Linked DNA regions of Macaca mulatta. The protein of the gene in region 1 purifies or fractionates together with the protein of each later gene. This does not show direct contact. Links are inferred from orthologs where the notes say so. Each region holds a gene or a part of one and is shown on either strand. Other genes may lie near its edges.

Region 1 (5,864 bases):
CCACTTCAGGACTACCCCCACCCACAAGTATACAACATCAGAATATTAAGCACCTGAATATACAATTTCACATACTGGTAGATTTCATACATAGCAAATATTGTTTTGCCTTTCAATTTTTCAATAAAAAGTGTCATCAAATGATAGGTTAACTTAAAAAATAAACAGTACGTCAGAATCTGCTAGGAACAACCAAATATTTAATGACATCTTTCCTCATGGAGACTCTAAATACTACCCAAAACATTTTGACAAAGTAATAATTTGAGTACTTTTGCTGAATTGCCTTCTTCCAAACCACAAAGCTGTTTCATTTTCCCCCTATGATCTTTCACATGCCTGTGATCCCACCCCTCTTATTAACCGTATGTAAGAGGCTTATATATGACAACCAGCTTTTGATTACGGTCTAATGATAAACTAGGTTACCAAAGCTCTCTGTACAGGTAAAATCCCAGTGAAACACGTACCAGACTGAAGATAGTTTACGTAACACTACCATTTTAACTTAAGTTTAGTTACTTCCTATTGCGGGACTACTCTGCTGTGGTAGAGACAACGGAATGTCAGGGAGCTGGTACTTTTGGCCACCACAGGAACAGTTAATACAAAGCACTCCCTGAAAGCCAGACTCCCAGAGTTACAGGTGACATGTCCTTAAAAGCTTTAACATTGTAAAGAACAGGAAAAGTACAGGAGATTGGGAGGGAGAATTGTATAGATTACCTGAAAATTATATTTTCCCTATTGGTAGTTCTGACAAAAACCTGAAAGCCAAGTAGAGGGCTGGGCATGGTGGCTCACACCTGTAATCCCAGCACTTTGGGAGGCCGAGGCAGGTGGATCACGAGGTCAGGAGTTCAAGACCAGCCTGGCCAAGATGGTGAAACCGAGTCTCTAATAAAAATACAAAACTTAGTTGGGCGGGGTGGCAGGCGCCTGTTATCCCAGCTACTTGGGAGGCTGAGGTAGGAGACTTGGTTGAACCCAGGTGGCAGAGGTTGCAGTGAGCCGAGATCGCACCACTGCGCTCCAGCCTGGGTAACAGAATGAGACTCTGTCTCCAAAAAAAAAAAAAAAAAAAAAAAAGAGAAAGCCAACTAGTAAAACAAACATAGCATTTTGTTGTTTTAGCTGAAGACAACTTTAAAAATAAAGTTTGTGGCATGACAAAGTCACAATGACAAGTATCCTACTAGTCAAACTGGTTTAATGTACTTAAGAGAACATTCTAAGAAAGATGTGGAGCCTTTTTCTATGGCTCTACCCCCAGAATATAGGAGAAAACAGCTCAGCATCACAAAAGACCACAATCTAGAAACACATGTGCTCAGATTTCTCTGGTATAGCACCATTTGCAAGCTCCCAGAAGTGAGCATGCTGAGTAATCCTCAAAAGGGTGGCTTACTAGACGAAACCTGCTGGCAAAACCTAATCTCCTTCCCCTGCAAAAGACCCCACAAACTACAAAATATCCCGGCTCATAATACACTTTAAAATCAAATGGGGCTGGGTGTGGTGGTTCACGCCTATAATCCCAGCACTTTGGGAGGCCAAGGTGGGAGGACCACCTGAGGTCAGGTGTTTGAGACCAGCCTGAGGGTTGGCCATGTGGTGAAACCTGTCTCTACTAAAAATACAAAATCAGCCGGGTGTAGTGGTGCATGCCTGTAGTGCCAGCTACTCTGGAGGCTGAGGCAGGAGAATCGCTTGAGCCCTGGACGTGGAGGATGCAGTGAGCCAAGATCGCGCCATTGCACTCCAGCCTGGGTGGCAAGAGCCAAACTCTGTCTCAAAAAAAAAAAAAAAAATCAAATACAAGATTGGGAGCAACTTAACCTCTCCAAAATCGTTTAATATGACTACGCTTGAAAATAAGTATGGAGAAGTGGGGTAGGTTGCAGAAATATGAAATACTGAAGACACAAAATAGGGACTAAAAGTGACCCTGTAACCCACCGAAGACTAAGTTAGCACAGTATTTAACAAGCAGCACTTTAAAATAATGCTTGTGAAGAGACGGCTAAGGGGTGTCCTGTCACATCTCCGTCCTCAGGAGGAAGCTGAATAGAGGGGAAGATAAAACAGAATGGATTTCAACTGGACACAAGGAACTTCTTTAGCAAAAAAAACACAAAAAAACAAAAAAACAACCAAAAAAAACCCACCAAAAAGTGATAAAACTAGCCCTGCTTACCAAAGACTAGAGCTACCATTTCAACATTTTAAAAGGGTAAATCAGTCAGGATCTTTAGGTCATTCTCTTGGGTTGAAATCAAGTAGCCGAGGTACTTGACCATAATGTGATTATTCAGGGGCTATTTTCAAATAGTTGGCAATAAGTACTTACTTGACTGACTAGGGAGGGCTCACCCAAGAGCCAGGACACCTCGCGCTCCCAACTCCTCAAAATGCAGAGGAGGAAATCAAGAGAACAGAGACAAGAGCATGGATTCAGGCTGCCAATAAAGGTTGGATCCCAGGTTCCATGTAGATATTTGAACAGTTAGTGACTTTGAACCCCTCCATTTGATTCGTGGTTACTTCCTGGCTGCAGCACCGCATCGCACAAGAGTTCCCCCTACGACTCTGGGCACCCCGCATCTCTAGCCAAGCTTCTCTCAGCCCTTGACTTCCTCCAGCTCTCGACGGAGAGGTAGTAAAAGGATGAGTAAGCATGCAGTGGCTGATCTTGGTCAAAGAGCACAGACCCTGGCACCGGCGGTGGAAAGCGCAGTTGGGGAGTGCATCCCGCGAGCGGCTGGCAGGTACAAGCTTCCCACGACACATGCTGTCACCCCGTTCCGCAATCACCGGAGCCTTTGAACCCTCGCTTTCACCTCCCCATCCCCCCAAATGTGGCCCGGCGCACGTCTTCTATAGACAGTTACTTCAAAACAGCCCGAAAAGATGAACGTAATTTCTCCAGGCTTCCGGATGTCGGCAGACAATACAGCCTCACCCTGAAGCGTGTCTAAGTTCGATCGCTCCGGTTTCTCACAGGCCAGAAAACCGCTTGTTCTGTGACACCCCGTCCGCCCCCCAACCCGACCCTAAGCCACCTTATTCAGCAGTAAGGCGACGCTAGGAACCGTTTCAAATGTACGTCAACCTTTTGGGGGAAGAAAAAGAAAACAAAAAGACTTCGGAATTACTTCAACAGCGTGGTTGCAAGTACCTGACCTTATTCCTTCCCGAAGAAATATAGGCCACTGAGAGATCAGACATTCCTTTTTCTCTGCCTTCCTACCCGGGCCGCCAGCAGCATCTCCAGGGCCTCCAGAGGGGCCTCTTTTGGGGGCTCGCCTAGGTTTCCTATGTACAAAACTTGCGTCCAGAGACCAAACGTTCTCTAAGTCCCTAGTTTTCTTTACAAGGGTAAACTTCACCACAGATGGAATGAAGCCGAGGTGCTGCTTCCTTTGTTAAAATCCCACGGACTTTCTTTTCCTTGCATCGGGGGCGGGGTGGGGGAGACCGCCAGCCCCGGTCACGCGCGCCCGCGGCGAAGGCGGGGAGGCAGGTGTGACTCCTTCCTCGCGGGAGCCTCTAGCGCGGCTCCCTGGCGCCGCCTCATTTCCCCAGACGAGCCCCGGACTCCTCGGCGGCCGGCGGCCCCCGCCCCGCGCCTCCCACGCCCTCCGCCCGGCCGCCACCTGCCCGCCCGGCCCGCGGAGGGCGCCCGGCTACCGCAGCTCCTCGACCGGTGCGGACGCCGCCCCGACCGCCACCACCTCCGCTCAAAATGGTGGTTACGAAACGCGCGGCCCCCGCCCGCCCCGCCACATGGCCGCGCCGGCTCCAAACTTCGCAGGCCCGGCAGCGACCCGGCTTCCAGGCGAGGCCCCGGCGGCGCGAGGAGGCCGCGCGACCACCGGCCACTCACCCACAGACCGGTAGCCCAGGATCGCGATCTTCCGGGACTTGGACTGCGGCATCTTGGCGGCCTCCTCAGCCCCGGCCCAACCACATCAACCGCGGCGGCGGCGGCTCCTGCTGCTGCGATCGGCGGCGGCCGCGCCGGGGGAGAGCGGCATACAGAGCAGGGGCGGCGGCGGGCGCGGCTGCCTCTAGCTCGCTCGCTCGCTCGCTCGCGCGCTCCCAACCGCCCGGAACCGACCGCGCGGCGGCGCCCCTCCCCCCACAACACACCCACGTGACCGGCCGGCGTCAGCACCGCCCCTCCTCGCGCCGTGGCCCGCCGCCTCCGCCCCCTCGAAATACGCGGGGGTGCGTCGGGGCGACGTTTTACTTTAAAGGCAAAAAAAGGGGACGCCGCGATGCCCCCAGAAAAGTCACGACTGAAACTCGCTGCGTCATGACCCTCCCACCTTCTTCCGCCGCTTTTTAATTACGCCATTCTCCCCGAGCGCCGATTGGACGGCACCTGCACAGCCGCGCGATGACGTGTCAGAAACTCCATCTCCCATTGGGGGAGGCAAGGAGGCGGGGCGGAGGAGGCGGGGCTGGCCACCCAGGAGCTAAAAATACACCGCGCTGCTACAGCGCGGTTGGGCGCCGGCGAGGTTTGAAGGCTTCAAACTTCCAACCGGTTGGGGGCGGGCGGGAGAGGCGGAGAGACAAACGGTGGCTCCCCGGTGATTGGCCGGAACGGAGCGCAGGGCGGGGCAATAGGTGGGAGGTGCGGTGATTGGTGATAAGCTGAGCGGTTGGCGGGTTCGCGCCCGCTGAGCCCGTGAAGGGCGCGAGGCTCGTGGCCGGGGCGGGCGGTGGTTGGGCTAGCTCCTCCCTCGGGGCTTTTTTGAAAATTCCCCTTGAGCTGCGTTAGCGTTCGTGTCTGGGTTTGAGGATGTAGTGGTGACTAAGCGTCACCCACGGCCGAAGGACTGTGGGAAGCATGGAGTCTGCGTTAATTCAAAGTGTTAGGAATTTCATTAAAAACAGGGCGAGCCTCGTCAGTTCTGGTGTCTGCTTCGCTTCGCGCGGAGCTCGGCGCACATCCTGGAACAACGCCGGGGCGGGAAGCCGGTTCTCCGCCAGCGCCAGGGCGGCTGGTGCGGCGGGCAGGCCGGAGCCGGGTGCCAGGAACGCCTCGGGCCGCGGTGTGGGCACAGCCTTCCCAGGGGTGCAGTGCAGAGGGGCGCGGGAAGAGAATCCGGGCCGGGAACGCAGGTGCCGTTGAGGGACGAGCCTCCAGGCAGGCCCGGAGTGGTGGCTGCTGGTGGGCTTGGCACTTGCCGAGTTAGCAGAGGCTCCGCCGCGCCGGGGAACCCGCCCCTATTCTGCCGAGGCTGTTTGGCAGTGGGGACCTGCAGAGGCCGGGCATGGCCCTTCGCCCTTTCCCAGTGATCGGTAGGGAGGAATGAAGCCCAGGGAAACTGAGTAGCAGGCCTTGTATTCCAGCGTAGGAAGGTTTAGAGGTGACTGGAGTCGAATTGGAACACCCAGCCCAAGAGCGACTCCCTCCAGCTTTCCCACGGAAGCATCCGATAGGGGCTGGGGTGTGCATTCTTGTCCTTGGGGATCTACAGATGGAAACCCCAGGCAGCCAGCCGGAAGTGATCAATGTCTGGAAGTTCTATGTTTTCATGAAATGTTGAGGTTTACGCTACAGTTATTTTAAGTGTTTTAAAACTAAAGGTCTTAAATTGTACTCTCCTGTAAAATGTGTCGTTTTTATCCTGTGGATTCGGATATCCTCACCACAGTGTTTTTGAACAGATGCTACTAAACTCCTTGCATTATCAAATCAGTTTAGTTTCACCTTTTTTAAAAAAAAATAGAACAGAATAGAAAACTGCATTATGAATAGTAAGGGTAAGTATGTGTCCTCATTAATACAGTGGTGAGTTAAAAAAACGAGTAAGGGTAAGTGTGTGTAAGTGCATGCGTCGGTATATATA
Region 2 (6,149 bases), on another chromosome or scaffold:
GTACCACTGCACTCCAGCCTGGGCAACAAGAACGAAACTCCATCTCAAAAAAAAAAAAAAAAAAAAAAAAACTACCCCAGGTTGAGCATGTTGGCTCACGCCTATAATCCTAGCATTTTTGGAGGCCAAGGCAGGAGGACTGCTTGAGCCCAGGAGTTCAAGACCAGCCTGCGCAACACAGTGAGACTCCCCAACCCCAGGCATAGTGGCGCACACTTATGGTCTCGCTACTGGGGAGGCTGAGGTGGGAGGATCATTTGGGCCCAGGAGGTCGAGGCTGCAGTGAGCCGTGTGATCTCACCACTGTACTCCAGCCTGGATGACAGAGCAAGACCCTGTCTCAAAAAAAAAAAAGAAAAGAAAAGAAACAGAAAAACACTCCACAAATGGGCTTTGTTCAGCCTACAGTGTTGGACTACAACGTGTTTGGTAATATATCTGAATTAGTAAGAATATTTACAAATTGGAAGACTTTACATTTAAAAAAATAAAAGTTTGCTGGCTTCTCAAAGACAAAGAAAGAGAGAGGCCTGGCCAAGGCCCAGTTGCCTTCAGTTACGGCATCAGGGAGCTCCCGTTCCCACCCTCCAGAAACTGTCACACACACTGTGTCAAATGTCAGCTGCCATTTATCTTTATCTGTGAACCTATGCCATTATTCTTCTTAAATGTGGCCTGTTTCATTCACTTATGCTACCTTCTCACTCTTAGTATCATTTGAGTTTGCAACTTCTGTCCTATAGGGTGTGTGAAACGGTCCATCAAGGTCTGACCTGAGGGAAGAGATGACAAGATTCCAAACTCCCACAAACTCAACTGAAGATGTTAGCTGCTGATTTTCTCCACTGAAAAACAGATACAGCAAACTTTCTCCCCAGCTGCTTTCTAAGCAACAATCTCAGTAGTTACTAAGAGTCACAGAACTTGTTTCTCTTAACAATCTGTGAAAAGCTTATTATGGAATGTTGATCATTCACAAATTAATGTTTTAATTAAAAGATCAAATATATACCCATTAATCAGTTTCGAACAGTTGGAACATAGGTTTAGGACAGCAGAGGGAACCACATTTCAAAAGAAAAAAAAAAACTGCCCTCTACACAGAATTTTTTTTAAAAAAAGTATTTTCACATATGTATAGCAACCACAAAAGCTTTTAACTATATAATTACTACTAAAGATGTCCATAAGATAGAATATACAACCTCCCCCAATGTCTAACTTATTTAACTCCTTAAACTGCTTTTCGATGAAACAAATTTTTCTAATCTTTTAGAAGTAAGCCAAATCAGTAACTAAAGTACTGCTTACTACTGACAGACTAGAGTTACCAGAAGTGTAATCTTTATTTATTTATTTATTTATTTTTGAGACAGAGTCTCATTCTGTCTCCTAGGCTAGAGTGTAATGGTACGATCTCAGGTCACTGCAACCCCTGCCTCCCAGGTTTAAGCGATTCTCCAGCCTCAGCTTCTCGAGTAGCTGGGATTACAGGCAGCTGCCATCAAGCCCGGCTAATATTGGTATTTTTAGTAGAGACAGGGTTTCACCATGTTGGCCAGGCTAGTCTCAAACTCCTGACCTCAGGTGATCCACCCGCCTTGGCCTCCCAAAGTGCTGGGATTACAGGTGTGAGCCACCGCGCCCAGCCCAGAAGTGTAATCTTATATATGTTCATCATCATATATGAAAAAACAATAATATTCCATAAACATATACATAAGCCTAAAGGAAATCAAACCTTGTAACACCAACTTCCTCTTTTATACCACTGAAACGTGCAAATAAATAAAAGCAGCCTGGAGGGAGAACATAACTTACCAAAAGACAAATTATAAGTGTGCATACATGAGAAGCAGTACCACCCTTTTGCTTTTGAGACCAGGAAATAGATGGTATCTTATGAAGGATAAATTCAACAAAATTCAGCTGTTTTCTTTCCTACCAGCTGCTTGTGAATCACTCTCCACACTCCAACACCATGAGGACAACCTGAAACCTGCAGTCAATGCCTCATACCCTAACTCACAATTAAAGAAATCCTGTCTCCAAGTTACAGCAACAGGACCCTACATAAAAGGAGGAAAGTCTAGCTTCAAGACAAATTGTTGAGAAGACTAGAATGAAGTTCACTGTAACTTTAAAATAACTTTGCACTAATTTGTTACTAGTTGAACATTTTCCAGTAATCTCGTTTCCTAGCATAGTATATCAGACTTCTGCACTTCACCCAGCTTGGAAATTTTACAAAGTAGACTAATTATGTGGGTATAAGCATTATATCGCACGTTGCCCTTCCTCTAAGTGTTAACAGAACAAAGTAGTATGCCGAAGAGCATGTAAATACTCGCAATGCTGTATTTCAAATTTGCTTAACTTTTATTATCTGAATCAGAACTTAGTTGGAATTGAATTAACACTACCCAGTGAATAACGACTAATTAAAACAGCCTTTCCCATTTTCAGCCAAAAACTGCAGTCTGAAATGGCTTTTGCTTTCTAATTGACTTACAACGTGTGGCTGGGGGGAAATGTCAGCGCTTTCCCAAGGACACTTTTCAGGCTGTAAACTTTCTTTGTTGGAGAAACTACCAAGTTCAAGGGGTGCCTTCAGAATCCACTTACCCGATCCTTCATCCTCCAGCTTTGAGCTAAGGATTTGGAGCCTTCAATTTTCTCACAGTGCCTCTTTTTCATAAAAGCCAAAGGTAGGTTCCAGTCTGTAAGATCAGCCTCATCTTCCTCCCCCAGGCCCAGAAGAGGCGACTGCAGCATTTCGGACTCCATCAGTGGGGGAGGGGGTGGGGGAGTCCTTGGCAGCAAGCGCTCAAGAACCTCCAGCCTTAAAAACTAGCGTGTACCAGAATTGGTGAAATAAGAAACAGAAAAACGGGGAATCGAAAAACAAATGGATGGAGAGTGCGGAGACCCTTACTCAGGCAAAAAGTCTGAGATCCTTATCTCTAACTCTGGGCGGGAAGTGGGGAGGTGGGGGCCGCTAGGAAATGGGGCAGCCCAAGAAGCTCCGCAGACACACACCAGCCCAAGTCCCAAGCCACTGGCTGCTCCTGGGGCTGCACGTTTCCAGAGGGGCTGCGAGCGGAGCTGTCAAAAGCGTAAGAGACTTCAGGCCTCACGATGACCCTGCTCTCGGCCTCCAACGCCTCAGCAGTTCCGAGGACAGGCAGGCCGCTCTTGGTGCCGGTTCGCCCACTGGGCCGAGGTCTCCGGCCAAGGGATCGGGTTCAAAGGGCCCTGGGTCTCCTCCAGCCACTCTCAGCCCTGCGGGTCCCGCACTCGTCTGAGCTGCCGCAACCAGAGCCAGGACCGGCCCATCGTGCTCGCCCGCACCCGGTTCCTCAACCTCAGGTCCGCGCGGCCTGGCTGGTCCTGGCCTTCAGCCCCGAGGCTCTCTCCTGCCTGAGAACGAGTCCTGAGAAACAGGCGACACGGAACCACGGAGAAAACGGACAATGAGGGCTTACTGGGTCAGGGGAGCTTTGCCCTCTGGTTTGGAGCTACAGGGAAACTCATCTCATCAGCACATCAAGGAGGACGCCATATTGCCAGGACCCAGAATGCACCGCGGCCTACGGCGTGGCCGACAGACCAAACCTCCTCAGAGCGTTCTCGCCGCGCCACCCAACAAGCAGTGAAGGAAAGGGAGTCCCTGACCCCATTACCTCGGTTACCGTAATTCCGTTTTCCCCAGTTAATCGCCATTTGTTCAGTAGAGGCGTGTTATTAAAGTCAGTCCTACAAATGAAACTGTCGGTTTAATTTATTTTTTCAAAAACATTGTTATTATAAATGAAGCTACATGCTCCTGAAATTAGAGGAATCAACCGCCTTGTTTCTTCCAGATTTTGAAAAAGCGGCAAAAGCTTCAGGAAAAAACACTGATAATATTAGAAAATATAGTACTTTTTTTTTTTTTTTTTAATGTAGTATCTTCCACAGTGTCAATCAGATTTTCTCTTTTTCGTAGAAAACCAAGTGAAAGGCTGGGCGCAGTGGCTCACGCCTGTAATCCCAACACTTTGGGAGGCTGAGGCAAGCAGATCACAAGGTCAAGAGATCGAGACCAGCCTGGCCAACATGGTGAAACCTCCGTCTCTACTAAAAATACAAAAATTATCTGTGCATGGTGGCGCACACCTGTAGTCCCACCTACTCGGAAGGCTGAGGTAGGAGAATCGCTTGAACCGGGGAGGCAGAGGTTGCAGTGAGCTAAGATCAGGCCACTGCACTCCAGCCTGGGAGACTGAGCAAGACTCTTCAGATGAAGAAGGGTCCGAAGCAAGATTCGATGAAAAAAAAAAATTCATCGAATACAATTCTTTGTTTAATCTGTTTCATTTGCTGAGCAGTTTATCCTTTGTAAATTTCTTTTCTCCTGTCTCAGCCTCGCGCACCACCACGCCCGGCTAATTTTTTGTGTTTTTAGTAGAGACGGGGTTTCACCGTGTCAGCCAGGATGGTCTCGATCTCCTGACCTCGTGATCCGCCCGCCTCAGCCTCCCAAAGTGCTGGGATTACGGGCGGATCACGAGGTCAGGAGATCGAGACCATCCTGGCTGACACGGTGAAACCCCGTCTCTACTAAAGAATACAAAAAATTAGCCGGACGTGGTGGCGGGCACCCGGAAGGCAGAGCTTGCAGTGAGCCGAGATTGCGCCACTGCACTCCAGCCTGGGCGACAGTGTGAGATTCCGTCTCAAAAAAGAAAGAAAGAAAAGAAAGAAATTCTAAGTGAGCACGTTGAAGTCCAAACCCACCAGGTGGTCAGAATCGCCCAGGAAACTAAAAATCAGGATGCCCAGCTTCCGCCCCAGACCCCCAGATCGGGGAGCAGGGAGACTGGGATTCAGAATCTGCACTTTTTTTTTTTTTTTTTTTGCAGTTTTTACAGTTTTATTTAAACACCAAACACGCACATGTGTCTACTCATTTTCTTCGCTGCGCAGCCTGGCATGGGGGACAGTGACTCTGACAGCCAGCTAGGCGGCTCTTTCCACAATGGCTTCGCGGTTCCTGGAGGAACGCTGTGAGCGATCTCAGCGCAGTAAGCTTTGTTGCACATCAGCAGCAAGCTCCCTGACGTTGTAGACCATGAACTTCCGGAAGCCAGTGGGCAGCATGGGCTTTGTTTTTTTGTTGCTCCCATAACCAATGTTGGACATCAAGATCTGACCCTTGGCCAGGCGCAGTGGCTCACACCTGTAATCCCAGCACTTTGGGAGGCCGAGGCGGGTAGATCATGAGTTTAGGAGATCGAGACCATCCTGGCTAACACGGTGAAACCTCATCTCTACTAAAAATACAAAAAATTAGCCGGGCGTGGTGGTGGGTGCCTGTAGTCCCAGCTACTTGGGAGGCTGAGGCAGGACTCTTTGCCAGGCTGGTCTCGGACTTTTGACCTCAGGTGATCCACCTGCCTCAGCCTCCCAAAGTGCTAGGATTACAGGCATGAGCCACCACGCCTGGCCTCAACAACAACAACAACAACAAAAATGTTTAAATTAGCCAGGCATGATGACATGCATCTGTAGTACCAACCACTCAGGAGGCTGAGGTAGGAGGATCACTTGAGCCCAGGAGTTTGAGGCTGCAGTGAGCTGAGATCGCACCACTGCACTCCAGCCTGGGCAATCAAGCAAGACTCTGTCTCAAAAAAAAAAAAAAAAAAAAAGGCCGGGCGCGGTGGCTCAAGCCTGTAATCCCAGCACTCTGGGAGGCCAAGACGGGTGGATCATGAGGTCAGGAGATCAAGACCATCCTGGCTAATACGGTGAAACCCCGTCTCTACTAAAAAAGTACAAAAAACTAGCCGGGCGAGGTGGCGGGCGCCTGTAGTCCCAGCTACTCGGGAGGCTGAGGCAGGAGAATGGCGTAAACCCGGGAGGCGGAGCTTGCAGTGAGCTGAGATCCGGCCACTGCACTCCAACCCGGGCGACAGAGCGAGACTCCATCTCAAAAAAAAAAAAAAAGGCAGAATAACCCTTGGCCTGCCTGAACACAGTGGGAGCACCTTATCCTACAATGTAAAGGTAGAGACCAGATGACTCCTTCTGTCCCTAAAACTTGGACTGTTTGACAAATAGAATTACAGATACAGCAAAGTGAGCAAGAGAACAAATATAAAAAC

Evidence for each region.
Region 2: the proteins of RHEB (region 1) and RPTOR purify together in Homo sapiens (affinity purification with western blotting, with the first as the bait; 3 studies listed by BioGRID). This does not show direct contact. The link is inferred for Macaca mulatta from reciprocal best matches to the Homo sapiens genes RHEB and RPTOR.

What each region holds. Positions count from the first base shown.
Region 1 is NC_133408.1:190,941,184-190,947,047, forward strand, and holds the start of RHEB (GTP-binding protein Rheb), read right to left. Parts: upstream 3,990-5,864; 5' UTR 3,939-3,989; coding exon 3,887-3,938; intron 1-3,886. UniProt on the Homo sapiens protein: Small GTPase that acts as an allosteric activator of the canonical mTORC1 complex, an evolutionarily conserved central nutrient sensor that stimulates anabolic reactions and macromolecule biosynthesis to promote cellular biomass generation and growth.
Region 2 is NC_133421.1:90,242,196-90,248,344, reverse strand, and holds the start of RPTOR (regulatory-associated protein of mTOR), read right to left. Parts: upstream 3,566-6,149; 5' UTR 2,788-3,565; coding exon 2,626-2,787; intron 76-2,625; exon of another isoform or gene 1-75. UniProt on the Homo sapiens protein: Component of the mechanistic target of rapamycin complex 1 (mTORC1), an evolutionarily conserved central nutrient sensor that stimulates anabolic reactions and macromolecule biosynthesis to promote cellular biomass generation and growth.